4 linked regions of the Tamandua tetradactyla genome follow. The protein of the gene in region 1 interacts with the protein of each later gene in a pairwise test. Links are inferred from orthologs where the notes say so. Each region holds a gene or a part of one and is shown in the gene's direction. Other genes may lie near its edges. The genes, in order: DISC1, XPNPEP1, KIF3A and RABGAP1.

Region 1 (6,962 bases):
GCACTGTACGGAGAGGACCTTTGTCGTCTGCATCTATCCCAGGCTCTTGTCCTTCCTTCCCTTCAATTTCAGGACTCCCGGGGCGGGCGAAGGGGCGGGGTGGGGAGTGCGTGTCAACAGGGACCCGCAGCTGGTCTGCGATAATGGACGGGAAGGAGAACGTCTGCGCTTCTCTGCCTAGAATCTGGTGTGGGGTGGGAGAGCACGAGGAACCGAGCAGCCTGCTTGAGGCTCCCCTCTCCCCCGTCACCCTCTGCAGGCTGGAAAGACCGAACAAAGGCCACCTCTGGGCTTTACAGAGAAGAGAAGGGTGGTTTCCCAGGCAAATTTTCAAGACTGCCTGCACCGTACGGGTGTTGCCGCCCCCTTACCAAGCTCTTCTTCCTGCTCTTTGGAAACCTTGGTTCCGTCGGAGCTGATACTGGTTAGGTGTTAAGAAGGAATCTTTCTCTCTAAGATCTGAATAAATGATAACCTTCCCTAACTTCAGAGTGTGATGGCTTGGTGTTTCAACCACTCCAAGAGGCAAGATTTCAGGCAGGGTATATAAGTGATCATTTATTTCTGGTCAGGGTCCTGCCTTAAATTTCCAAAGGGGGTTGAGGTGGAGGGGTGGGAAGCAGCCCCACTGCAGAGGCCCCCTCCAGATCGCAGCTCTGTCAGCCCCTCTGTGGCCCCTCGTGCCCTCTCCTACGCTCCTGAGGGTTAGGATTGCTGCTGCCCCGGTCTCACTTCTTGGGACCGCTTCTGGGAGGGGTGCATGAGTGCTCAGGTGGGGTGCAGGAGGCGGCTCATCTGTGTATGGAGCCCTCCTCCTCTCAACCCCCCACTTTTTTCTTTTTTTTAAAATCTTTTTGCATGGGCAGGCAAGAACTCTGCCTGCTGAGTCATCATGGCCTGCCCCCACCCCGCACTTTTGAGAAACCCTGTACTTTCGTCCTCACTGCCTGTTGCTCATTGCTTCTTGCTGATCACGAACCTCAGTAGAAGCGTTGGGTCCCATCGGGGAACTGCTTTGTGCAAGCGACTGGAACCTGGCCTGGGGGAGTTTCAGATGCCCTTGGTTAAGTGCCTTCAGGCATTTTAAAAGAAATGAAATTGCAAACGAATTTATTTTCCTCTCGGCATTGTGCTGATAGCTTTTAGCTTTTAGCCAAAAGACAACACAGATTTCACTGGATTCATTTTTCATGATATGAAATTGTTGAATTGTTTTCCTTCAGCAATCGAAGCCAGAATTCAATATTCTTTTCTATTTCCTTTGGACTCATTGTTCATTAGAAAATATTTTGCCAGTTTTATAGGGGAGACAAGAATTAGTCCTTGTGGACCCTCTCTCCTCCCACAGCCTCTTCCTCCTGCTCTTCCTGCTGGTGGGTCCCAGACACGGCAGGGCACGTCGTGTCTCCCTAGGATGACATACTTGGCAAAGAGGACGTGGGAACTCCCTGTCGGACCACAGTGCATAGACACCCCATTTGGCTTATTAATTATTCCCTCTGTACATTTTCATCATATCCTTCTCTGCTGTTCTTCCTTTGGACTCTGTCATGAAGAAAAAAGAAAAAACATCTGCCATCCTGTCATTTTAAGTTATCATCCCAATTGATAGAGTAGGAGGTAAAGTAGAAGGAGCATTTACTTTGGGATTAGATGGGCCTTTCTTCAAAACCAGGCTCTGCTAGTCTGTTATCTGAGAATTCAGGGGCAAATTAAAGCTTTCTTGGCTTTGATTTTATTGTCTATAAAATGAGAACGGGGCCTGTCTCCCAGGTCTAGCTCCTGTACTGTTTCCCTCCCTTCCTTTACCTGTTTTCCTCTTACTTCCTTCCTGGCTAAAACTATTTTCATTCCTCCCTTCACTGCAAGTGTGCCAGTGCGAAACGATTATGTATCCCAGAAAAGCCAGACTTTAATCCCGATCCAATCTTGTGGGCCAGACCTGTTCTTTAGGGTGGGAAACTTTGATTGGACTGTTTCCATACACCCAAGTGTGGCTGTGGCCTTTTGGTTAGATGGAGATGTGACTCCGCCTATTCAAAGTGGGTCTTGATTAGTTTACTAGAGTCCTTTAAAAGGAAGAACATTTTGGAAAAACCTCAGATGCAGATGCACACGTTTGGAAATGCAGAAGCCCCAGGAGACACAATTGCTTTAGAGCCCACAGATGCGGATATTTGGAGATGCTTGGAGTGCCGATGCCTAGACATGGATGTTTGGAGATACAGAGCCCAGTAGACATCACCATGGGCTTTCCCATGAGATGCTAAATCCACAGTTGTGCCCTGGAAGAGTTAACTGAAGACCCACAGACACTTAGAGAGGAAACCACTGCATCAGAAGTTAGAAGCAATGGAACCAGGGAATAAGGACCAACAGATGCCAGCCATGTGCCTTTCCATGTGACAGACATTGGCCTTTCTTGAGTCAAGGTACCGTTCTCTGGATGCCTTAGTTTGGATATTTTTATGGCCTTCAACTTGTAAACTTGTAACATAATAAATTCCCTTTTTAAAAGCTCTTCTCTTTCTGGTATATTGTGTTTCAGCAGCCATTAGCAAAGCAAAACTGCAAGCTTCCAGAAAGCCAGTGTATACTGGGAAGTATCACTCTTCCTGGGGTCCCCAGAAGTTGGCATACCCCATTTAGCAGAGAGCAGGTCACTGGGTGAATATATTTTGGGTCATCTCATCTCCAAATGCTCAAAGTCAGGGAGTGGGTGGTTGTGTGCTATAATGCTTATATTTCCAGGTGGCAAAGTACAGGATTATCATTGACATCCATCCAGGCACTTGTGCAGCACCATGGTTAAATGTCTAAACCTGACAAAGACCCTGGGTTTGTGTATGCTCTAACAGGCAGAGGGAAGGATTTTGGACATGGAGTGAAGCTCTGTCCCACTTCTTGCTGCAGGCTATTGTCTAACTAGAGTTGTGTTCAGTGAACTCTTGTCTTACTTTTATGCACTTGAGCTGGCTCATCCACACAACCATGAATTGATTGATTCACATGGCATGGGCAGGAGCAAATGAATTTAATGTAGGTGAAAATGCTATATGGCTAGTAAGGTACAATGCAATGTAAAAATAAAAACTAACACTTTTTTTTAACACTTACGTGTACCAGGCATTGTTCTAAGCTCTCTACATGTATTAACTCATTTAGTTTAACACTCTTTAAAGAACAAGGTACTGTTAAAATCTCCATTTTACGGATAAGGAAACTGAGGCACAGAGAGGTAAAGAAAGCTTGCTGAAGGTCACCCAGCTAGCAAGTGGTGCAGCCCCGGTTTGAACCAGGTAATGCAGTGCCAGAGTCTTTGCTGTCAACTGCTCCACTGTACTACCTCTATCAGGTGTCAGCATTTGTCAATACCATTCCTGTCCTCTAGCTGAGAGTGTCACACAGCCTCTGCTCTAGAGAACCCACCACCCGGGGCTCTCCTGCAATCTACCAGATGAATTGAGAGGCATATGCAATGCAGCTGTGATCACAGCCAGGCAACGAGGAATCATTGAAATTCACAGAGGAGTAGCTACAATAAATGATTGACTCATGGTTGTGGCTTTCCGGTTTCAAATCACTTGCTTTCCAGGCCCACTCTGGGATGAAAGTGCTGATTTGCAGAGGGTTCAGAAGGAGCAGCCAAGTTTGTGCCTCCAATTTTCATGCTGACCTGTTGGCATAATTTACAGCATTGCCAGCGGCCCTGGGAGGCAGGGGAGCCGAGATGCCATGTTCCTTTCTGCATGTTCCAAGGCAAACACTGACCCAGGCCCCTCAAAGCTGTGAGCCAGCATCTGTCTGTTTTTGGCAGTCAACCCCAGGGGTGTGCAGGGAGAGAGCACCCTGAACTTGGGGTTGTTCTCCAGAAGCTGTTGCAGCTGAGCCTGTGAGGGTTGAATGTTTATGGTGCCATGTCCTCTTTCTTTTCTCAGGCAGCCAGGATGGCTTACCACCTGCAGCATCCTTTGGGAAGACGCGGCTGGCAAGGAGGCCAGGCTACCTGAGAACCACGGCTGGACCCCGGGTTGGATGTCTCTCCCCGGTGGTTGGCATGCTATTTGGTGCCCAGGGAGTGGCATGCGGCGGGGAGCACCAACACTCTGAGCTCCAGGCTGGACAGGGCAGCCGGGACTCTGGAAGCCAGTGGCCAGACCCCTCACTTGGAAGCACTGCGGCCCCAGCTGGGATACCTATGGCTCTGACCCCAGGAGGAGAAACCTCAGGGCGCTTTGAAATTCAGCTCAGAGCTGGTACCAAACCTCCCAACTGGCTAACCAGGTCTTGCAGCCCTGGGGACTCTGGGTGTCAGGGAGAGTTTCCATCCATGAAGAGTTCTGACGTCCCAGGCCCTACTCGGGATGCAGCCTATGGTGAAGGAGTGAGGGGTGCTGGGGCAGCAAGCTCTCTGGCTCCAAAGGGAGCGAAGAGCAACAGCCGCAGCTGGGGAAGTGGCCCTAAGGCCCCCTTGGCCCCTTTCAGCTCTCATGAGGTCTTTACCTCGAGCTTTAGCTTCATAAGGCTCTGCCTTGACTCCGCTGGGGAACGTGGAGAGGCAGAAGGCTGCCCTCCATCGAAGGAGGCCGAGGCACCTCGCCAGGGCTCCGAGGAGATGAAAGCCCAAGCTGCCGGCTCGGAGAGGCCCCAAGAGGACCCTCCACTTCTCTTTCAGCCATTCGATCTCAAGGCTACTTGGGGCCTGGCAGACTCTGCCCAGACTGCACAGAGCAGCCCCAGGCCGGAGTGTGAGACGCTCTCTTTATTAGACACGGATGCTGCCTCCCCTTGTTCCCTGGATTCTTTGTTGCCTGGCTCTTCTGCCTGCGAGGACAGCCCCTTGGGGGATGATGTCGGTTGGGACACCCTGATCAAGAAATACGAGCCTGTGCTGCGGGAGTGTCTGCTGAGCAACCAGAAGCAGTTGAAGGTTGGTGTCCCCTCCCCCTCTGAGCCCCACAGGATTGTCCAAAACTCAGATTAGCAACTGGACAAAGGGCAGGAAATGACTGGGTGCTGTGTTGTCCTACTTCCCCTCCCGGAAGCCACAGCAGCTCCACGTGTTGGCTGGCTGCAAAAAAGATGTGACTGCACTTCTGTTTCTTCCTTTTCAGTTTAGACACAAATCTGTTTGCATTTAGATCTTCCCTGTGACTCTGATGCTCCGAGTTGCTCTCTGCTGACCCATAGGTTCCTCTGCAGTCCCTGGCTTTGGTGAGACATGGTTGGCTCAGCCTAGCTCATTTTGAAACAGGAAATGGAGACAGGGGAAGGGAAGATTGAGCTGGTGTTTGGAAGGGGTTGAGTGAGAAGAAAACAGTGATGCTTTCCATTCAGGGTAATTTCAATCTTCATCTGTATTTACTCCTCTCATTTCATCCTGCGGCAATGGAAATTGTTCTATATACAGTTAGGAGATTTATTTTCTGGTCATTAAATTTCTCTGAATCTCAGTTTCCTTATTTAGATAGTGGGGATGACAATACCTCATAGGATGGTTTTGAGTCTCAAATGAGAACAACAGTAGTTGGAAATTAGAAAGAAATGCATAGATGTAAATTGTAGCATTACTGGATTGTTGTCCATCTAGCTATCTGAGTGGTGGGTAGAGCTGGGAGGGGAAGGGCGGTTCTACCCAAAAAAGATTCCCAGAGGAACCCAGGTAGAGATACTTTATGGCTCACCTACTGGACTGGAGGGCTGACCCACTGAAGGACTGCATTTTTTTTTCTGATGTGTGTGTGTGTATGTTTTATGTAAATGTGAGTGGGCATGACAGGTAGGGAAGTGAACACCCACTCATCAGACATTTGGTAGAAGTATTTGAAAATGTGGAAGTTCATTTTCATGCCCAGAAATCCTATCTTATTTACTTTCAATTCTTTACCTGGAGCTTGATGATCTTAACCTCATTCCTTCTTGCCCAAATCCAGCCCTCAGAGACCTCAGCCCAGTCATCTCGTTTATGACGCAGGGAGACTGTGAAGCCAGGGCAGAGAGGCAGCTCCTGGATGATATGCGCAGTCCTCGAGTTGGACATGCCCAACACTGACGCCATCACCTTTCCCACCAAGCCTGTCCGGAAGTGCCTCATGTTTTATAAATATTTGCTGATTGATTTAATAGAATCATCCAATGCCTCAGTCATCGTCAACCCTTCCTCTCTCTCCCTCCCTGCATCTGATCAAGCTCCAAGTCCTCTCACTTCCACCACTAAGATAGTTCTCACTGCCACCTCCTAGCTCAAGTCTGTGTTATCTTTCACTTGGGTTTCTCAAGAGATTCTTAACATGTTTAACCTCCTCCAGTTTCTCTCTTCTCCAATTCATCCCACAACTGACCTGCAGACCTCTCTTCCTGAAACATAGGTGACACAGTGCCACTCCTTAGCTTAAAAGCTTTGAGGCTCATTGCTGCTCTCAGGATAACATCTGAGCATCTTATTCCAACAATCAAAAGAGTTGTCCCAATCTGCCCCCAGCTGCCAGCCTCAGCCACTGGGCACTGCTTGCCGTTCTCTGTAAGACCATAGGGACTCGTCCCTCAGTGCCTTTTCTCATGGCTTTGCCTCTGCCAAGAATGACCTTTCCTTACTTTTCCATCTGTTAAGTTCCTTCATTTCACTTTCAATGATGCTCCATTGCCACTTCTTCTGAGACATTTCCTACCCCATCTAGACCAAAGAAGTCCCTCCTTCCAATTCATTCCCATAGCACTTTGGACTGCCCCATTGTAGCACCCACCACATTTAGTAATAATTTGTTCATGGGTCCCAATTCCCCACTTGACTAACTAAGACCTCTCTTAGTTGTTTTTGCATGTCTGATACCTAAATTACTTCCCAGTCCTCAGCAAGTGCTTGATTAATATTATTTTACTGAAATAATTAATTGTGGGAAGATAGGCCACAGACAACTCAGCGGGTGAACCACTGCCCTTCCCCCTAATGTGAGACATGACTC
Region 2 (7,467 bases), on another chromosome or scaffold:
CATCTATCACTAGGTCTTTGAACATATTTTCTTAGCTCTTTGGGCTTATTTAGGACCATTTCTCTCAATGACTTTGTCAAGGATAGCCTGGATCTGAGCCTCATCCTTGATGGTTTCTGATGCTTTTATCTTTTTCCCTGCCTATGCCTTTGCATCATATTTCATTGTATGTTTTATAATATTTGGTTGAAACTACGGCTTTTTGATATTTTAATTCCGAGGCATTTATTCCCTAAACTTGCATCCAGCTGCTATTATGACAGGGATTTCCTTGAATGCCAGGAGCTAACAAAGAAACAAAAGAAAGGAAAAATAGAAAACACCTCTCCCAGCCCTTGCAGTCTGACCTGTGAGCCCTATCCTTCAGAACTTATCCATATAATGACTTCAGAGAACAGCTCCAAGTCAAAGCATAGGGGCCTCCCTGGTTCTTTTCTGTGCACTAGACTTGTCTTGGTACTAGGACTTCCCCTGTTTATGCAGATAGGAATGTTACCTCTTTCTCAGGAAACAGTTTCCTCAGGTTCAGGAGCATTACTCTGTGTGTCCCACAGCTAGCAGTCCCTTGCCTCAGACAGCAAGACCTGACTCTTCTCCCACAATGTCCTGTAGGAGAACTCTATGAGCTACCTTTTTATAGGCAGGGCAAGTTCTAGGATAGTGATCTCTCAGGCCCGCCACCAGACAAATCGGACCAGACATACATGCTCCCATAGAATGCACAAGGATTACTCTCTTCCCTCTGGAACCAGGACCAGGGACCCACCCTGGGAGCTCTGTGCCCAAAAGGGGTAGGGAAGGGACCAGCCAGGGTGCCAGAAGGTCCTACCACTTTAAAGCAGCCTTTTCCTTGACTCAGTCAGTGCTCATTCTGTTACAGAAGTCCTTTAGCTGGCTTTTTTTTTTTTTTTAAGCTTTGAGAAAGATGTTTCTGCCAATTCTTGTTGGTTGTTGAAAGTTTCTGTGGAGGGATGGGGCCCAGAAACATCTCACTCCACCATCTTCTAAGTTTCCTTTTAATAAAAACATTTGCAAAAGAAATGAAGAGGCAGAGCAAAATTAAAATCACCCCAAATTCTGCCATCTAGAGATAACCATTGTTAACAGTTTGTGCATCATTTTCTTTTTATTCTAAAAAGTATATATATATAAATCTGTATCTCTATGTTTATAGATATATATGTATCTATAAAAATTAAATATGTTGTTTTGTAATCTAATATTTCCATTTATTATTTCATGGTTGTCTATATTAATAAACTTATATCTTCATGTATAAAATTCACTTGTACAGATGGAACATAACTAGTTCAACGAGGAATCTTTTGTTTGCAAACAAAGGCAAACCCATGTCAAACTGACTGAAAAACAAAAGGGAAATTTTGGCTGACCTCTGAAAAGTCTAGTGGGAGATCTGGCTTAAGGTGTGGCTGGATTTAGGGCTCAAATAATGTTATGATGTTTCTGCTTTTTTCCTCCCTCTGTTCTTTTTTCTGCTGCTTCAGTGCCATTCTGATGTTGCATGCACAGGCAGCAGTTCCAGAGTGTTTGTATCCAGGTTCTGGCCTGGCAGAGGAGGACAAGGTTCTGCTCCAGCACTCAAAGCAAAAATCTCTTTGCCTTGCATTAGTCCCCTAACAATCTCTCTTAGCCTATCGTTGTGGTTTATGCCTGGGTCATATGATACATGCCCGGAATCTGAGTGTCTCACCAGCATAATATAGACCAAGGATGGGGGAATGAGGAAAGCAGAGTGGAAAAGAGTGGTGGATCCACAGAGGGAAATGGTCACAAGAAGGAGCTGAATGGATGTTGGATGGCCAAAATAACAGGTTCAGTTGTACATTTAGAGCTTGTTTCCACCTTCTTCACATGCCTGGCTACATCTAAGGCCCACCCAGTTTGAATTTGAATGATGAAACTGGGTTTTTCCTCTTTTCCACTGCATGCACTAGAAGTTGGATGAGTGACCTCTAGGGTCCCTTATGATATAACTTAGTGATTTTGTTGGAGACAGGAATCCATCCCACTGCCTGAACGTATGTGGCAGTGTCACCACTTACTAGCTCGTGGAATCCTGGGTAAGTGATCAATCTCTGTAGGCCTCCTCCATCAGTAAAATGAGGACTTTGGTCATTGGTTTGTTGTGGGCCAGGCACAGAGTGCACAGTAAATATTAGTAAGTATCACTGCTACACCCCTTAATAGATATCAGGGCTCTACCTCTTAATAGATATGAGGACCGCCAGAGCCAAGAGAGAAACTTGACCTCAGCAGTATTCTCACTCTCTAGAGATAATTCAGTTCAACTTCTCAAGCGGGGGAGAGGGAAGCTTGTGGTTATCCTACAGATAGGAATTCAAATAAGGTTCCGGGAACACAAAAAATTTCTCTTTCTCCCCTAAAGCCCAGATGCTGTAAATTCTGAGCCAACGCCTCTTCTCTTAGCGTGATAACAAAATATCTGTCCCCTTTAGGTCCCACCTATATATCTCTTTGGTCTCTCCTTTACTCTCTCACAACTTGCTCTTTTCTACTGTTAAAAGAAAAACTTTCTAGCAACACAAAAATTAGCAGTTCACAGCTTCATTGAGCTATTTCCAATTTACAAGAGAGGGGTTTTCTAAATGGGGGAGGAGAGATATTTGGTTAGTATAGCATACTTATCCCTTTTTAATGGGCTATCTCTACCAGACCAAGATGAGCTAAGCATTAAACGTTGCAAAAATTGTAACTTTGTTGGGACTGCTCTGCTCTGGAAGAAATTCCTGTCCTTGGTCAGTTTTTATCTTTGAAAAAGCCCCTGTCATGTCTTGGAAAGGGGCCACTCCGGGCAACTCCCAATGCAGGTGGTCGTTTTATTTTTATTTAACACCACCATCTCTCAGATTAGGGCTAGAACCAGTCATTCCACTAATCCTCTTCTTCTTTTTGGCCCCATAAATTTGGGGAACAAGGAACAGAGTCCTGCTGCTTTTCAAGGAGCCATATTTTTTAGTTCTTTCACACTTTTCTTACAGGGTTTAATTTGGCTTGTCAAAATGTGCTATAGGGTCTAATTTAGCTTGTCTAATTTAGCTTTTCTGAATTGAATAATGCTTAGAACTCTGAATTCTTGTAGGCAGCAGAACCTATTTGATTTAGGTATGGATTCACATTTTTAAAAATGTGGCTACTTTAATTCAGCAAATATTTCTTAAGTGCTGATTCTGTGCCAGGTGCAGTTTTACGTACTTAATGATGAACTGGAGAGCCACCATCCCTGCCCTTAAGGAGCGCACATTCTGGGGACATTCATTAATGTAGAAAATATGTATTGAGAATGTACTACCTCATTATTCATTGTTCATCATTAAACAAAATAGGCACAATCCCTGCACTGATGGTCATGTGGGACACAATACAAAAAACAAATTTTTAGCATGTTAAAAGAGGATAAACGCTATGGGCTAAAAAGGAGCAGGGTAAAGGGGATTAGGAATATATGCAAATATTTTAACAGTTTTAAATATGGTTGTCAAGGAAGGCCTCATTGAGGTGCTATGTGAGCAAAGACTTAAAGGCAAGGCGAAGGCCAGGTGAGGAAATGAGCCCCCACATTTGGGGGAAGAACTTTCCAGACAGAGGAAAGAGCAAGTCCAAAGGCCCAGGGCATAAGGGTGTCCAGCTTTTCCAAGGACTAGCAAGGAGGTCAGTTTAGCTGGAGCAACATGAGCAAGGTGAAAGCAGCAGGAAATGAGGAACCATGGAAGAAGTGCTGAGCAGAGAAGTAACGTGATCTAAGACTTCACGGGATCCCTCTGGCTGCCGGGTTAGGCAAGCCTATATGGGCAGGTATAGGGTGGCAGCAGGGAGGCCAGGAAGCGGTAAGTGACACAGACCGGAGGGGTGACAGTTGGAGGTGGTGAGAAGTGGTTGCATGACGGATCTATTTTGAAAACAGGGCCAAGACTTTCCAGCTGACCGCATGCGGGGGATATAAAGAGAGTCGGGAGGCCTCTCAGATTTTTGGCACGAACCTCTGTAAAAATGGAGTTGCCATTGACTGAGACCGAGAAGATTTTGGTGGAGCAGGTTTTTGTTTTGCTTTGGTGCGTTGGACTAGGGGTTCCGTCTGGCAGGTTCAGTTTGACCTGCCTATTAGCTATCTAAGTGGAGTGGGCACCTGCGTTTTAAGGCTGTCTGGCGAAATATTTTGGGGACATTTCTAAAGCCCTCAGGGCCCTGTCGAAGTCCTTCCAGAACTGGCCGCGTCGCCCTCCTCTCCGGTCTCCTAAAGGCCGGGACATCCCTGGGCCAGCAACTCGGGCCGCCACCGCCTCTTCAGCCAGGTCTTTGGAGAACGGCGAGAAAAAGCAGCAGTAGGGACGACGCGCCGCCGCGCGGCGACCTTTGTCTCGGACCCCGAGCCCGCGGCGGGTGCGCGGGGCCGCAGCGTGAACTGACGTCACAGAGGAGGCGTGGCCGCCGCCGGGCGGGCCTCTGAGCCGCGGCCTGGTTGTGCGCGGGCTTCTCTCCCTCCCGCCTTGGATCGGTGATCAGCTGGTCTGCGCTCCCCTGACGTGGGCCGGAGCACGTCACCGCCGAATGGCAGCCTCCAGAAAGCCACCGCGAGGAAGGTGAGGGCAATCTGCCGGGGAGCCGGCGTCCGGGCAGCGTGCGGCCCGCCGGGCCCGGACGCGCGGGTGGCATCCTCCAGGGCAGGGACTAGCCGGTGAGGAGCGGCCGGCCGGCGGGAGTCGGGCGAAGACCCGGGCGCGCGGGAGCCCCCGGAGCGGGAGCTGGGGGAGGGAGCCATGCAGCCCGGCAAGTTATGGTGCGTTTCCGGCGGGGCCACGGGCACCACCGAGCAGCCCGAGCCCGGTCCTCGGCGGAATGTATCTTCGGTGCTGCCCCGCGCGGCCCGAGGGAACAGTGGTCATCGCCCGGCCCCCGGCCCCGCAGGAAGGCCCTGCTGTTGCAGGAAGTTGATCCCTCAGGGCCCCTCCTCCGGTCGGGAGAGGTGGGCGAGCCCCTCTCGTCGTCTCCTTTCCCCGAGAATCTAATCCTCAAGTTACAACCCTGACATACTGACACCTGCTATTCGCCTTAGTGATCTGTCACCACCACAGCGAGAGCAGCGAGACCTTCCCCACCCACATGATTTCAGAGACCGTGTAAGGGAATATTTTGGCATCATCTCCAGGAAAATCCCACCAGTAGCTTGCCCAGGGCTCTTCCTGGGCACAGGGAGGTGAGAAGGAAATTTGGCATTTGCACCCCCCTCCCCCAACGGGTCTGACTTTAAACACGTTTCAGCCAGTTTTCACCCCTAGCAGGGTATACTTCTCAGAGCTGCTAACAAAACAGTAGACTAAGAGACAAGATCAGAGTTCACAAAGGCCTAAGCCAAACTTCTAGGCAATCCACATGGGGTCACCTAACCTTCAGCCAGTTGAGAGCTGAATGAACACAATTAGCAGCAAGGCCAGGTTCACTTGCTAAAGACAGGCCATGGGTGTGCATGTGTTTGTGAGTGGACAGATCCCAAACAGACACTGACCTGTATTTGATCTTGCTACAGCATGTTAGGGGTAGCAGAGAACCAGATCTGCCCTGTGGAATGGTGTGGTGAGGTGTGACAAACCTCTGTGAGGAAGGAGCTGCCTGTGAAGTGCTGACAATAGGTTCAGGCTAATGGATAATGATGTGTTAGGCTTTACATGGAGAGGCAGCCTATGAGGACCAACATGGTCTTTGCTAGATTCACAGAATCACAGGTCCCAAGCCCTGGTGGATGAGCAGATGAGAGTCACATCGACCATGTGGACAGAAAGTGGAGAAGGGGTGTTCTCCAAAGAAAAACCAAGGTGCTCTTATCAAAAACAAGGAGGGATGTCTTGCCTGGGTAGTCAAAGATAACACTTACCCCAGCCTGGAACATGTTCCATTCTACCCTTATCTCACCTCGCTAGGCATGATTGGTCCTTGTCTTGCCCTGTTCTAAGTGCTAAGTGTGCATGACTCTCATCATGGACTGGGAGGGTACTTAAAGGTGGGTGGGTGATCTAGCACCTAGCTGGGATTTCTTAAAAAAAAAAAAGAGGCAGAAAATTGGGTAGTTTGTGGCAGTTTTAACATAGCCATTTTATGAAAGACTGAACAAGAATTCCTCTTTCCTTCTATCTGCCTCAGCACTCATCATGATCTTAAGACAGTGCAGGCCAAGAAAGTCCTGGGAAAGGAAAGAACACTGTGCTGGAAGGTTGGAGGCTTTGCCTCATTCTAGCTCTGTCACCAACTAGCTGTGAGGCCTTGAGTAAGTCACTTGATCTCTCTGTTTCTTAGTCTCTTTGTCTAGAGGAGGGAGTTGAGTTGAATGGTCCCTGAGGTCCATTTTTTTCTATTTCTGATGCTCAATAGCTGTGCTTTGACTGAGAGCCTGTTAGTGTATCTGTCAAAGTGAAAGAAAGATGAATGGATCTTGGACTCTACAGAGACCAGGTGTGACAGCAGCAGAATAACTGATGTTCAACTACTTGATGGCTCCTTTGATCCTGCAGGAAGGGAAAGGTGAAGGTGATGCTTATTTGGAAAGCTTGAGCTCACCTATTGAGAGACCTGGTTTCTGGTCTTGACTTTATAGCTACTGAGGTTGTTTGGCCTGTGGTGAGTTATCTTTATTTCCTTTCCTGTAAAATGAATGAATAATATTATTTCTAGTACTAGAGAGCATTAGAGAGTCCCTCCACCTCTCAAGTGCTTTGTCTGGACCAGTCATTGGGACAAGTTAACTTTGAATTTGTAGGGAAACTAACTTTCTTGGCTCACCATGCTGCAAACTTATGAAGTCAAAGGAATATCGAGTGAGAATATGTTGTTTGCTTGTTCAAGAAAAATAGAAGTCTTATTTTTAAAAATTTATAACAGCTTTATTGAGATGTAAGTCACATATCATACAATTCACCTATTAAAGTATACAGTTCATTGGTTTTTAGTATATTCACAAAGTTGTACAACGATCATCAGAACAAATTTCAGAACATTTTCATTATCCCCCCAAGAAACCCCATACCCTTTTGTAGTCACACGCTATTTTTCCCAATTCCATTTCAACCCTAGGCAACCAGTAATCTACCTTCCGTTTCTATTGATTTGCCTTTTCTGGACATTTCATATAAGTGAAATCATACAAGTGGGTTTTTTTTGTGACTGGCTTCTTTCACTTAGTATAATGTTTTCAAGGTTCATCTATATTGTAGCATGTATCACTACTCAATTCCTTTCTATTGCCAAATAATATTCCATTGTATAGATAGACCACATTTATTTATCCATTCATTAGTTGAGGGACATTTGGGTTGTTAACAATTTTTTTTGGATATTATGAATAATCCTGCCATGATTACATTTACAAATTTTTGATCTCTCTTAGCCACTGAAGCCTTATTTTATTATACTTCTTATCCCCTTTTTGGTCAGAAAGGC
Region 3 (7,711 bases), on another chromosome or scaffold:
CCACAGCTGATTCCATTTGTAATCAGCCAAAGGGGAGTGTCTTCTGCAATTAGTGATGCTAAATCCAATCATGGGAAGCCTTTTAAGGAGGACTCAGAGGAGACAGGTTGCATTCCTGCTTTGGCTGGTGAGCCTCTCTTGTGGAGTTCATCCAGGCCATCCATTGGAGTCGTCGGCTTCGCAGCCTGCCCTGTGGATTTTGGACTCTGCATTCCTATGGTCACGTGAGACACTTTCATAAATTTTATATTTGCAAGTGTTCCCTGTTGATTCTGTTTCTCTAGAGAACCCTAACTAATACACACCACTTTAAGAGAAATAGTAAAGGAAGTGTTTCAGGCTGAAAGCAAGTTACCCCAGAAGGAAATTTGAATCCATTCAAAAAATGAATAGAACTGGTAAAGGCAATTATGTAGGTAATTATAAAGCAGTATAATTACATATTTCTTCTCCTTCTTTTATTAGCAGTTTTAAAAGAAATTGTGTAAACAATATGTATAATTGTTATTATTAGACCTCTAACATGTAGAAAGGTAATATATTTAACAATAAGAACACTTAGAAGGGAAATGTAAGCAAAGCTGTAGTGCAGTAGGGAAATGACAACAAATGATAACTCAACTCCACAGGAAGAAATGAAGAGGACCAGAAATGCTAAATAAGAAGGTTAATATAGCAAAGTCTGTAAATATAAACTTGTTCTCCTTTCTTCTCTCAGCTTCTTTAAAGGCATAAAATTATATAATGTAATAAGTATAATAACGTATTATTGGGTTTGTAATATTTATAGCTATAATATGTATACCAATAAGAGTACAAAAGGGGAAGTGGGAATAGAGCTATAAAATATTAACATTTCTATATCACTCTGGAGTTAGTCTGTATTGATCTGAAGTAGATCCTGATAAGTTAAGATTTATATTTTAAACCCTAAAGCAACCACTAAGAAAATAATTCAAAAATATAGTGAAAAAATCATTAAAGGAATTAAAATATTAAGGTAGAAAATATTCACTTGATGCAAAAGAAAGTGGTAAAAGAAGAACAGAGGGAGAAAAAAGACATAAGCCACAAAGAAAACAAAAAAAAATGGCAGATATAAACCCAGCTATGTTACAACTAACATTAAAAGTGAGTGGATTGCACAATCCCACTAAAAGGCAAAGATTTCAAACTGGATAAAAATGGCAATATCCAACTATGTGCTATCTATCAGAGACACACTTTAGATTCAAAGATGCTTGCTGGTTGAAAGTAAAAGGGTACAAGAACATATATCAAGCAAATGGCAATCATAAGGAAGCTTCATTGGCTATACTAACAGCAGACAGAATAGACTAGAACAAAGAAAATGTAACAGAGGAATGAATAATCTCCTCAATAGATGGTGCTGGGATAATTAGATATACATAAGCAAAAGACCTCTACCTCATGCTCTATACAAAAATAACTCAAAATGTATCATTAATCAAAACAAAAGTGCTAAAACTATGAAATTCTTAGAAGAAAATTTAGGAATAAATCTTCATGGACTTAGGTTAGGAAATGCTTTCTTAGCTATGACATCAAAAATGCAAACTGCAAATGAAAAAATAAATTGGACTTATAAAAATTAAAATAGTTTGTGCTTCTAAGGACCTTGTCAAGAACATGAAAAGATAATCCACAGAATATAAGGAAATATTTGCACATCATATATCTGATTAGGGATTTTTACCCAGAATATATAAAGAACTCTTACAACCAAATGATAAAAAGACAACTTAATTTTCAGATGGAGAAATAATTTGAATAAACATTTTCCCAAAGAAGATATACAAATGGCCAATAAGCACATGAAAAGATGTTCAACATAATTGATCATCAAAGAAATGCAAATCCTAACCAAAATGAGATATCATTTTACATTGCTAGCATAGATACAATAAAAATGATACACAATAAGAAGTGTTGAGAATGTGAAGAAATTGAAACTCTTTTAATTGTTGATGGGAATGTAAAATGATGTAGCCACTTTGGGAAATTTTGGCATTTCCTTAAAATATTAAATATTATAGTTAGTGAATGACCCAGTAATTGCACTTTTACATATATACCCAAGAGCACTGAAACATATGTTTAAACATAAACTTGTACACAAATGTTCATAACAGCACTATTTATAATAGCCAAATATGGTGACAACCCTAACGTCCATCAGCTGATGAATGGATAAGCAGAATGTAGTATATCCAGACAATGGAATATTATTCAACTGTAAACATTGATAGAGTACTGATATATGTTGCAACACGTATGAACTTTGAAAACATTATGCTAAGTGAAAGAAGCCAATCACAAAGGACCACACACTGTATGATTCCATTTATAAGAAATATCCAGAACAGACATCTTTAGAGACAGAAAGTAGACTAGTGGTTGCCTGGGGCAGCGATGGAGTTTAAAAATGGGGGAAATGGGGAGTGGATGCTAATGGGTATAGGTTGTTTCTTCTCTGCAATTATGAAAATGTTCTAAAGTTTATTGTGATGATGGTTGCACTTCTCAGTGTATATTCTAAAAGCCATCAAATTATATGCTGTTTCAATTGGAGAATTATGTGGTGTGTGAATTGTATCTCAGTAAAACATTTTATATATGTATATAGGAGTGATTGTTCTAGTTTGCTAGCTGCCTGAATGCAATAAATAAGTTGCAAGTTTATAGTCCCAAGGCCGTGAAAATGTCTCAATTAAAGAAAGTCTATAAAAATGTCCAAATTAAGGCACCAACAAGAAGTTACCTTTACTCAAGAAAGGCTGTTATCTTCAGAGTTTCTCTCTCCACTGGAAAGGCACATGGCGAACATGGCGACGTCTGCCTAGCTTTCTCTTTAGGTTTCTTGTTTCATGAAGCTGCCCTAGGGGTGTTTTCCTTCTCCATCTCCAAAGGTCTCTGGCTGCGTGGGCTCTCGTGGTTCTTGTGGCTCTCTCCAAAACGGTTCCTCTTTTAAAGGATTCCAGTGAACTAATCAAGACCCACCTGGAATGGGTGGGGTCAAATTGCCTCTAATCAAAGGTTAATACCCACAATTGGGTGCATCTCTGTGGTGATAATTTAATCAAGTTTCCAACCTACAGTGCTCAATAGGGATTAAAAATGACTGCTTCAACAAGATGGATCAGGATTAAAATATGGCTTTTCTAGGGTACATAATCCTTTCAAACCAGCACAAAGTGTATATGCATATATATATGTGTGTATATATTAGATGGTGGTAAGTACTATGAAGAAATAAAAAATAGGGTGTGGAGGTAAGAAGAGCTGGGGTAAAAGTTGTCATTTTAAATAGGGTAGGCCTTGTAGAGATGGTGATGCTGGAGCAAAGACCTTCTGAAGTCAGTGAGGGAGTGGGTCAGGCAGATATCTAAAGGAAGAGCTGTCTGGCTGCCTGGGTTTGGTGTCTGGCTGTGTGACTTGAACATGTTACCTAATTGCATTGTGCTTCAGTTTCTTTATCTGTAAAATAGGGATAATGGTACTACCCAATTCAAACAGTTACCACATGGAGTAAATGAATTAAAAAATATAAAGTACTTAAAGCCCTTAGAACATGCCTGCCACTAAGTAAAATGCTTCATAGCTATTTTCATGAGTTTGTACTGCAAGTGCAAAAGCCTTGCACGCTACCATGGAGGCATGCCTGGAATGCGGGATGAGGCAGGGAGGCCTGTGGGGTTGGTGCACAATGACAAAGAGGGAGAATTGTAAAAAATGGGAGCCAGCTTGTAGCTTTTATTCTGTGAGATGGGAAATCAGAGAAAAGACTCGATATGATGTCTAACACCTTCATTCTGGCTCTGTGCTGAAAATAGACTGAAAAAGTGACAAGATGGAAGCAACCAAGCCAGTTCTGAGCTGTTGAAGAAATGCAGGTGAGAGGTGGTGGTGGTAGTAAGAGGTCAGGTTTTGGGTCTACTTTGAAGATAGATCCAGCAGGCTCTGCTGAAGGATTGGATTTGGGGTTTGAGAGAAGGGAGATTGTGTTTTTGGCCTGAGCCAACTGTGAGAATGGGGCTGCTATATTGAGATGAGGGGAGTCTGAGAGGGGAGGTGCTTTGTTTTGTTTTGTTTTGTTTTTGCAGGTGCTGGGGGTGGGGAGGATAGGCAGATTAAGATTTCAATTTTGGACGAACTTGACATGCTTATTATATACCCTAAGGGAGATGTTGAGTAGGCAGTGGGATAAGAGTCTGGTGTTGAGGGAAGAGGTTCAGACTGGAAAGCAAATGGATAATTCGTTCTTTCACCGTACACGGTGAAATTCTACTCTGTGCCAGGCCATACTCTAGGCTCTGGAGATACCTGTGTGCCCCTGACTTTACCTTCTAACGGTGAGACAAGTCATACAAAAGTCAGCAGTTAAGCTGCTCTTTTTAAACTCTTTAGCTCGCGAGCTGGACACAATAAAGGCTAAAATACAATTGCTATTATTGCTTTTAATATGAGAGTATTTACTATCGCCTGAAAATGCAACCTAAGAGCGACTCCTCCTCCCATGTCTTGGCTGTATGGGATCCCTGGCCAGTGCAAGCGAGGTTGCTAGCGCCGCAGACTCCCCGCATTGCGCAGGCGCGGCCTCCGCGGGGCGTCCTAGGAGATGGACTCAGAAAGGCTCGGCGCAGGCGTATTCAGGGGCCGAAGGAACCTGGTCTGGGGACGGGGTGGGGCGAGGTTGGAGTGCGCATGCGCACTATGCGCTCTCGCTTGAAGAGCCGCAGTCTCCAGAGCGTGGTGGAAGTGGTTCGGTAATCTCTGGCCTGTCGCTCCCGCAAACCCTGTGTCGTTGGGCCGCATCGCTGGCGGGAACGTCCGTCGGGCACGGGAGGGGGCCACGATGCCGGTGAGAAGAGTCAGTCAGCCTCTGGGGTTGCTCCTTCTTCCAGCGGCCTGGCCCGGGGGCGCGGCCGTTGCCATGGAGGCGCGGAGCCGGCGGGTGGCCGGGGTGGGGCGGGGCAGGGTCAGCGCCGCGGTCCACGCGGTTTTGGAGTCAGGCGGATGGGCCTGGGACCCGCGGGGGTTCATCCGCCCGTGGGAAGGACCCGAGAGCAGGCTCTGTCGCCTTTGTCGTTGCTGCATCCCGCGGGGCCTGCGCAGCTTGGCATAAAGGCGCTGCGCCCCAGGATGCATTTTCGCTCGAGCCCTGCCTGCTGGAAAGGTCTGGGGTAGCAGCGTTGGTATGCCAGGGATGCTCCGCGCCGGGTGGCATTTAGGCGCCAAAGAGCCGAGTCCCGGAGTCCCGAGTCCCGGAAGGCGACACGGCGAAGGCTGCCTGCCCCTCCTTCAGGCCCCTCACCCGGACTCCCCTGGGCTGGAGCTGTCATTCCTATAGTGGCGCTTTAGCTTGCAGTGCAGAATGCTACCGTTTGGTGTCTTTGGGGGTGGGGATGGAGGCGCGAGAGGTACTGCTTATCTTGTAGGATTTCACAGATCGTTAGCGGGCACATAATAAGGGGGCATTGTAAATTCAGTATAGGCTTGAGCTGTGTCCGATTATTACCGGTTATGAGGCCTTGGGCAATTATTTAATCTGTCTGGTCTCTTTGTTCCCACACATTTAAACTTTTCCTCATGGGTCATTATGAGGATGAAGTAAAATAATGCTCAAGAAAACTTGAAGTGCTTGACATTTAGCATTGAATTGTTATTGCTTTCAAGTTATCTAATATTAAACACCAGCCACATGCAAGGCACTGGAGATGATAGTGAGCAAAACAGGCAGTTCTTGAACTTGGAAAGAGGGAAGCCTGCCTTCTTGGGCAGAGGTGAAAACTACACACGTTTTCAGAGACAAGACACTTAACCTTAATGGATTCTGGCGATTTGGGAGGTGTTGCCATGTAGAAATGCATGCTGGCCTAGAAATATCAGATCATCTCATTTTTCAAGAGAATCTAGAGATTGTTTTTGTCAAATTTCTCAATTTTAAAATCTTAGCAACTTATTTTAAAAAAATTAAATATTGTGAACCAAACAAAAGACATTTGTGGCCTGAATTCAGCCCCCCTAGCTTCGCATCTGCATCTTTTTGTCTAGTGGACGAAAGAAAGACAGACATTAACCAAGTAAGGAAAAAACAGAAGTAAAACTGTAACTGGCCGAGTTGATGAAGGAGAGGTACAGGGTGCCATAAGTTCCTGTAACAGGAGGATTTGGCCTAGTCAGGAAAGCCTTCCCAGATGAAGCAGCTATTGAGCTGAGATTGGAAGGATAAGTAGATGTTAACTGAGGGAAGTGAGGAATGTCTGAGCAGAAGGAACAGTATATGGAAAGGCCTGTGATAAGAAAAAGTGGGTGAATACAAAAGGCCTAAAAAGCCAGTGTGGCTGTGGCCAAGGGAGCCAGGTAGAGCGGCTTGTGGGATAAAGCTGGAGAGGCAGGCATGGGCTGGAGCCAGATCTTTCGATGACCTTAAGGATTTTTATTTTTATCCTATGATCTCTGGGAAACCATTGAAAAGTATTAAGTAGGGGAGTGATTAGATAATTAGGTTTATTTGATTCTGAGTGCCATGTAAAGAGCATTCTGAGGGGAACCTAATTAGGTGCAGGGGTACAGTGAGGAGGTTTGTAATAATCCAGGGCTGAGATGATAGTGACCTAGACTAGTGTGATGAGAAGTGTGTTGTATCGATGTAATCTGTTACTTCTCGATGACAAAGTCTGCGTCAGTGACAATGGTTTATATTTGTTTCTCTAATGCTTAGAAGAGTAGATGAAACAGGAATTTAACAGATATCCGTTGAACTAAACAGTTGAACTTCTGCACTTCGATAATGGAACTGTGTTTTAATGAATCTTAATTATATCAGATTTCAAAACTGGAAATTTACATATACAATTTTCATAATTAGAGTCATACGAAGACATTTTTCTCTGCCATGACACTTTCTTTTCTGCCTTTATTATTGTCCACTGTAGAGATGACAAACCATTTACGGATATATTATATGATAAAAAACATTTTAATCATGCACCATAGGAAATAAAACAAAGTCTCAAAGCATATACTATATTCTTAAATTAAAATTGCTAACCATGTTTACATTTTCCTGCAGTCAGGAACTCAGATGATGTCAGGGATTTTTTTAGGAAAGACGATCTTTAATATACTGGTTCATTTTCTGCTTAAACAGCGTTTACTACATGTGTAATTAGATTTTCTTTCCCCTCTTTTGTAAAAGAAGCCACTTTTCAAAATTGTAAATGTTTTTTTATCTGTAAGATCTTTAATTGCGTTTAAAAGATATTTATGGCATGCTTAATATGTACAGGGTACTGAGATGGCAAGGTAGCTCCTCTGAAATCATGAATTAATCTTTAAGGGTAAAAGTAAATGTGCTTGTTGTTACCTGTGAGTATTTTCTCCACCAGATCAACAAATCAGAGAAACCGGAAAGCTGTGATAATGTGAAGGTGGTTGTGAGGTGCCGGCCTCTCAATGAGAGAGAGAAGTTGATGTGCTACAAGCAGGCGGTCGGTGTGGATGAGATGAGGGGAACTATCACTGTGCATAAGACTGATTCTTCCAATGAACCTCCCAAGACCTTTACTTTTGATACGGTTTTTGGACCAGAGAGTAAACAGCTTGACGTCTATAACTTAACCGCGAGGCCTATTATTGATTCTGTTCTTGAAGGTTACAATGGTGAGTGAGTACTTCACATAGTTTA
Region 4 (6,895 bases), on another chromosome or scaffold:
GAAAGGCTGGCCCCTCTGCATTTCAAGACTTATCTGGAGGTTGTAGGTTTTGGGGAGTTAACCCTAGTGCATGGAACCTTTGTAAAATCTTACATAATGCCTTGGTATTCCTTAGGCTTGGCAGGAATTGTTTTGTTTGGGGTTTGGCAAGGTACGATAGGTAATCATTTCTAACTGAAGTATGCATGAGAGTGACCTCCAGTGTAGCCTCTCAACTCTATTTGACCTCTCTCAGCCAATGATACCTTATTTGTTATACTTCTTTTCTCCCTTTTGGTCAGAATGGCATTGTTGATCCCATAATGCCAGGGCCAGCCTCATCCCTGTGGGTCATCTCCCACACCACCAGGGAAACTTTCATCCCTGGATGTCATGTCCCATGTAGCAGGGAGAGCAATGGTTTCACTTGCAGAGTTGGGCTTAGAGAGAGAAAGGCCACATCTGATCAACAAAAGAGGTGCTCCTGAGGTGACTCTAAGGCATACCTGTAGGAAGGCTGAGTTTCTCTGCTACATACATATGCTTCATAAGAGCAAGCCTCAAGATCAAGAGCTTGGCCTATTGATTATGGTGTCTCTAATGTTTGACACAGTATCTGGGGTTCCCCCATTGTAAAGTTTAATAATTCCATAATTTTTCTCCCATCCCTCAAGAGACTTTGCCAATACTTTTTATCTGCTTAATATACTCTGGGATGTATCCAGACATTACATTAAGCTATACAGGATTAAAGGCTTATTCTTACTCTGAGCTCCGTGTGTTTGGATTGTTTAAATGATGTGATCTCATTTTGAAAATATGTAAACACACACACAGCAGGATATGCACTAAGGTATTAACAGTTGTGATCCCTGGTGGTAACAGTGTGGTGTTCTGAATTTATTTTAGCTTGTCTGTGTTTTCTATTTTTCTCCAAGGCACCTGTAGTGATTCTGAAATAAAGTTTTATGTTAAAATGTATGTTAACTGATAAGCCTGGCATCAGCACCATGGGATTGACATTGTCATTCTGACTAAAAGGGGGAAAAGAAGTGTAACAAATAGGGTGTTGTGTCAGTGGCTGAGAGAGTTCAAATGGAGTTAGAGGCTACTTTGGAGGCTACTCTTACCCAAGCTTCAGTTAGACACTGCTACCTATCGTAGTTGGCCAAACCCCAAACAAGGCCATTCCTGCCAACCATAAAGAAAACCTACAGTGTTATCCTAAAGAACATCTAGGGCGTTATATGAAATTCTACAAAGGTTCCAAGCACTAGGAAAGTAATCCAGAAACCTACAGATGGGTCCCTAGACCAGATAAGTCCTGAAATGCAGAGAGGCCAGTCTCTCCAGAACAGTGACTAGTTCCATCTCCATATCCCATATTACTGACAGCCCCTTCAAACATGGAAAAGATGTAGTAGTCATGGCCCAAAAACCTGGGAAGAGGGAGAAGGATCAAAGGAGATGGGAGAGTTGTACAGAGAAGGTAAAGTTTAACAAATGAGTATGATGGCTGAGTCATTATATTGATGTTTCTTTTAGTCTCCAGTGCCTTGAGGCAGTTAGAAATAAAAACCTAAAATTGTGGAATTGTGACCCATACTAAACTCTGAAATCCGTTCTACAATTGTTGGAGTATGCTTTGAAATTTATTGCTTTTTTGTATATATATTATTTTTCACAAAAAAGAAAAAAGTCAATTGTGATGATACATGCACAGCTATATGATGATAGTGTGAACCACTGTACACTTTGGATGATTACATGGTATATGAATATATAATATATATCAGTAAAAATGCATTAAAATTAAAAAAGGATGTCAAGATTTATGTAAATATTGGTGTCTACATATGAATCAAGAAATGCATGAAAAATGGACACCAAAATATTTAAATAAATTAAATATTAAAATATTTTGTTAGGATTTCAGATTTTACTTTCTTCCTAATACTTTATCTAATATTTGAATACTTTACATATGTGTGTATTATTTATTATTAAGTAACAAATAATACTATTTTCATGAGGTAGGGGTATGCAACTAAATCTATTGTTAAGATGGGTCACAAAGAGGACTGCAACAGAGCACAGTTGTTGGTTTGTCTTTGGTTGATTTCCATGCAATAGCCACTGAAAAACATTTCAAATGACTCATCTTCAGGAAAAGAGGATAATACCACTTGAATAAAGAATAGTGACAAGTAACAGGCTGTAAAAATATTTTATATGTCAAAACTTAAGTAGCGCCCAATCAACAATCACTACCTTTGTTATGGATATATCCTTTTCTTCCCAGATACACTGTAAATTCATTAAAGACATGTACTTTAAACATTATATTGCCAATGCTCTGTATTTTCACTTTTGAAAGATTTCTGAATAAAATTCCAGCCTCATCTCTGAGTAACACTCCAAAACAACCTTGGTCATTTCTGACCTCTTTTGTGTATGTGAAGTACCACAAGGCAGCTGTGTGTAGGCAGTGGCCCAGACTTTGGAGTCAGAAGTTTTGACTGTGACACCGAGGAAACGTGGGGTTCTCTGTCCAATGCATATAACAGAAATGCTATTAGAAAACTGTGGGGCCTGGGGCACCAGTAGCGCAGAGGGAAACCCGGTTGCCCCGCCTCTGGACTAAAAGGGTAGTGGCTGCAAAAGGCTCGATTACCGTGTTTACCTGTTCCCACCAGGCTGCAGAACTTTGGGCAACTGGAGTCCTTATTCTTTACGGTCATCACTGTACCACCAGTTTCGCCAAACTGATACCGATCAAAGGTGAGGTTCTTTGACAGAAGCGTTTAACAGCCTATCTATGACGCCCGGGTTCCAAAAGAAGAAAGAGTTTATTGCTACATGAAGCAAGGAGAACAGACGACCTGTTGGCCTAAAATCTCTCTCCATGAGTCTAAGGAGTTTACGGTTTTATGGATTCAAACAAGGAGAGATGGAGTTATTACTATTACAACAAAAAATATAAAGGTCTACAATTTACAAATGTAAAGGAGCAGAGCTAAACTAGAACTAAGCTAAACTAACCATTACAGTAGCAAGTAGCTAAAAATTACAAATATAAAGTAGTGGAACTAAGCTAGAAGTAAGCTAAAATAACCATGACAGTAACAACGCTACAGTCCTCCTTTAGTGTTGGGCTGACTCAAGTTTCTTCATTAACATTATAATCTTCAGTAACAGTTATTATAAGACTCCGAAGTTGTAAAACAGGGCAAGGGGGTATAAGCAGGCGCAGTCAAGAGGATTTACAATTTGCAATTCAGTGGGTTTCAGTAATTTCAGCTATTTCCTTTTGGCTATTATACATTACATTAGAAAGTAAGAAAAAGGCATCTATATACTACAACTTCTAGACTGAATTTTATAACAACGCCTTTGTAAAACAAAAAAACCCATACCTTTCTCGCAGGTTTGTGGTAAAGCCGAAAGGAGATACCCGTAAATAGACCTACCATAATCCCTCGCACTCTGCACCCAGAATAAACAGGTGAGTTAAGTCGCACTGTGAAATGCTCCTTTTCAAATAGCGCTTGAACCTGAAAGTTGAGCAGGAGGAGACTTGGCTCCACTTCGTGTACTCCGTAGAGTCGTACCCCCTACTAGACTCAGCAGGTGCCACTAGCCCAGCTACCTTCCATCACCAGTTCCACTCCGAGTCCCGGCTGCAGCAGACCCTGACCTAACAACCCTACGTCCAGCTCCCAAAGCGTACGCTACACGCAGGCGCAGAGTCCTGGGGCGGGCTAAATGCTCAGGCGGGGCTTCGCGGAAAGGAAACCCTCGCCTCCTAGTGTTGGGCCAATGAGAGCTCTCAGTTTAGTCGACAGCCTATAAGATGGAACAGAGGGCGGGGCAAAGGGCGGAAGGAGCTGCTCTCACGTGAGTAGGGGGCGGGTGGGAGGGGAGAGGGCGGCTCGGGAGGCCAAGGCGGTGAAGCCTCCGGGACGGCGGGCGGCGGCGGAGGAGGCGGCGGGTCGGGTAGGGTCGCATTTCCCTTCCCTTTATTCCCACCTTCTTATCCACCAACCCCTCGGGGCTAGCTTCTGACGGTTCTGCAGGTAGCCATGCTGTTTTCTCATTCTGCAGTCTGGGCTAGTGAGGCTGCGCTCAGTTCCCTCGACGGGCCGGCCTCTGAGGGGAGCCGTGATTGGGTGGGGGGAGGGCGAACGGGAGCTGCGACGGAAGGGCAGCGCATGCGCAGGCGACGACGCTCCCTTAGCCCCTACCCAAACCGGTTCCCCCTGTCTGGGTAGGTGCTTTCGGAGTCCTGCTTTTGCGGCTGTTCCTCTGGCCCACCAGCAAGGCTGGTTTGTCCTTTAGCTTTCATAGTCTGAGCCCAGTCATCTGGGGAATCTGGCCGTCCCCTCCACCTCAGTTTCTCCTCACGTTCTCCCCGTTGCCCTCGGGATCTGTATTTACTAATTTAGACTGACTTGGACCTCAGGCTTGACTTCTGGGCTGCGCCTAATTTAAAATACTTTCTTTATGGGTCTCTTTTCCATCTCATCGTGGTCTTTCTCTCTCATTTTCCCTGCCTGCAATTACAGTGTCCCGGCATTCCATTCTTCCCTTCTGCATCTCCCCCCCAATACCTCATTGCTGTTCTTATGTTTTGATTCTCAGTCGCCTTCATGGTTTTAGGTGATTGAGCCGGAGGGACAACCTCAGACTTTCAGGAGTTCGCTGTCCACTGTCCGATTGTACTGTGGCTCCTACTCTTCTAACATCCAGATTATTTATCGTCTACTCCTGCTCTTAAGAACATCTCCGTACTTACGGCTACTTTTATTATCTTAGTACCAAGTAGCCTAGGAGACCTTGTTAACAGTGATAATGCTGGTAGTGCTCCGTTGCTTTAAAAGTCATGTTCTAACTTGAATTTGAGGTATTTAGGCTTTTGTCTTGTTTTTTTTTTTAATTAGAGGTGAAAAATGACAGAGATAGGGTTTCACAATTCGTTGGATATTTTTATTCAAATAAACACCTGTATTCTCATACCCGTGACTGAAGTAAACCGTGTTTGTGTGTGTGTTTCCAGCTGTTTTACTGCGGAAGAAAAAAACAATAGAGGGTGAGTGGAACTGTGGCACACTAAACTGATCTTTGAATAGTAGATTAAAAAAAAAAAGGTTATGTACCAAGTACGTGCGCGTCCACCTTTTTTATATCAAGGACCTGTTGCTTTATTCACTTCTATATTGGTTGGAATTTTAATATATATTGGAGGCTTTTAAGTAGAGTTTACCTAGAAAAACTAAAAATAAATAGGGGCGAGAGTTCTTTATTACCTTCCTTTGTAGACTTCCTTTTGCATTAGTAAATTTGAATCTGTGATTGATTTGTATTTATCGGTAACCTTTAAAATTCACAAGTAGCTTTAAACAAAATGACTCAAATTCATGTGTTCAATTTTACAGCTCATTTTACAGTTAATTAACTCATTGTTGGCATTAATAAAATATATATTTGTCTAGAGAGTATACATTTTGTCATAGTGTTTTAGCAGTTTACTAATGCACGTGCTTAATCTGGATTACATGATAGTATAGTGGTACTCTGTAAAAGTGAAGATACCTGTTTCCTAACCTTTTTTTTTTTTTTTTTTACTGATTATTGAGAGAAGTGTATTATGCACCTTATCTATTTGAGGGGTTTTCCACACACTATAACTGAAATATACAATCCAGATTCTTTTAAAGAGGTCTTTGTCTTTGAGTCTATTTCCAGTTAAAGTAAAAGCTGCTTTTAAGGTATCATCATTTCACGGTAATTATTTTAACAAGTGACCTTTGAGTGCAGGCTTCAGAAAATGATTAAATTGATGCTACTGATAAGCTAAGATTCTGCCATAGGCTGCCCATAATGTTATCTTTGTAATTTTTAATATAATCAGATATAATTACACCTCTTAAGTGTGTAGAATAAATAAATACAGAGATAACCTTTCTTGGAGATACAACTCAAATATTACTTAAGTGCTAATTTTTTTTTTCTTTTAAAGAAGTGTTGATTTAACCACAGTACTTAAAGCAGCGTTTGGTATGACATTTTAGTGTTTTGTGTGTAACTGCCTTGTTTTATTGGTTTTCCATAGTCAGATCCCGAAGAAAGAAAATTCAAGGCTAAGGACTTGATGTCCATGGATATACCTGAAAAAACATCACATCAACTTAACAGTCATTTTTTTTTCATGTAATTTGATTGCATAGTTTTTTCCTTTAGTTTTGTCTTCTCTAAAAATCTTTATTCTTTTGAAGACTTGTATGTAAAAACAATATCACTAAACATTTAGACTTAGAATGTAACTATTCTTGTTGACCCTAATGGTTTTGTTTCTCTTCATGTGCAAAGAATATCTGACCAAATACGGCCATATGCCGGTCACGAACATGTTAGTTTATAGAATTTGACCTGAAAGTTTCCCCTCTTTTCCATATCAAGTACCGTACACAGAAGTAGTCACTAGTTGTTGATTAAGTGAGAATTTTTTGAAGCTTATTCTTCCTATCATGAAAGAGCTCTGTAAAGCCTATCTTTTCCAAAGAGTCCCTATCTCTGTGGATCAATAAAGAATAAAATAAAGCCCTCAACCTGTTTTTAAGTTTATGTTTCACATTAAATATATGTATTATCATGGCTCTAAAACATGAGAATCATGTCTTAATTGTATGGCTGTGCTGCCAGACTTGGGGGTTTACCCCTTTCCAAGAGTTAACGCATGGTTGTTATGTATCTCTAGTTAAGTTTGTATCAGCATTTGTGTTATAAAACACAATTCTTTGGGATCTGTAAATCTTTGTGTTAGTAAATTTTTCTGTATATAAACTTTGGCATTGTTATGTACATTAGTAAATTAGTTTCTGTGTTACTCCAACATGTTATTAATAATAACTCTCTT

What was found.
Region 2: the proteins of DISC1 (region 1) and XPNPEP1 interact in a two-hybrid assay, tested with the Homo sapiens proteins (2 studies listed by BioGRID and IntAct). The link is inferred for Tamandua tetradactyla from reciprocal best matches to the Homo sapiens genes DISC1 and XPNPEP1.
Region 3: the proteins of DISC1 (region 1) and KIF3A interact in binary tests that used the Homo sapiens proteins (3 or more experiments, as listed by UniProt). The link is inferred for Tamandua tetradactyla from reciprocal best matches to the Homo sapiens genes DISC1 and KIF3A.
Region 4: the proteins of DISC1 (region 1) and RABGAP1 interact in a two-hybrid assay, tested with the Homo sapiens proteins (2 studies listed by BioGRID and IntAct). The link is inferred for Tamandua tetradactyla from reciprocal best matches to the Homo sapiens genes DISC1 and RABGAP1.

Annotation. Positions count from the first base shown.
Region 1 is NC_135333.1:1,470,535-1,477,496, forward strand, and holds the start of DISC1 (disrupted in schizophrenia 1 protein), read left to right. Parts: upstream 1-3,947; 5' UTR 3,948-4,057; coding exon 4,058-4,930; intron 4,931-6,962. UniProt on the Homo sapiens protein: Involved in the regulation of multiple aspects of embryonic and adult neurogenesis. Required for neural progenitor proliferation in the ventrical/subventrical zone during embryonic brain development and in the adult dentate gyrus of the hippocampus.
Region 2 is NC_135339.1:71,769,617-71,777,083, reverse strand, and holds the start of XPNPEP1 (xaa-Pro aminopeptidase 1), read left to right. Parts: upstream 1-4,463; 5' UTR 4,464-4,587; coding exon 4,588-4,619; intron 4,620-4,693; exon of another isoform or gene 4,694-4,714; intron 4,715-6,174; exon of another isoform or gene 6,175-6,298; intron 6,299-7,467. UniProt on the Homo sapiens protein: Metalloaminopeptidase that catalyzes the removal of a penultimate prolyl residue from the N-termini of peptides, such as Arg-Pro-Pro. Contributes to the degradation of bradykinin.
Region 3 is NC_135346.1:11,484,279-11,491,989, reverse strand, and holds the start of KIF3A (kinesin-like protein KIF3A), read left to right. Parts: upstream 1-4,709; 5' UTR 4,710-4,876; coding exon 4,877-4,882; intron 4,883-7,412; coding exon 7,413-7,686; intron 7,687-7,711. UniProt on the Homo sapiens protein: Microtubule-based anterograde translocator for membranous organelles. Plus end-directed microtubule sliding activity in vitro. Plays a role in primary cilia formation. Plays a role in centriole cohesion and subdistal appendage organization and function.
Region 4 is NC_135328.1:44,787,830-44,794,724, forward strand, and holds the start of RABGAP1 (rab GTPase-activating protein 1), read left to right. Parts: upstream 1-3,886; 5' UTR 3,887-3,975; intron 3,976-4,008; coding exon of another isoform or gene 4,009-4,076; exon of another isoform or gene 4,077-4,133; intron 4,134-6,895. UniProt on the Homo sapiens protein: May act as a GTPase-activating protein of RAB6A. May play a role in microtubule nucleation by centrosome. May participate in a RAB6A-mediated pathway involved in the metaphase-anaphase transition.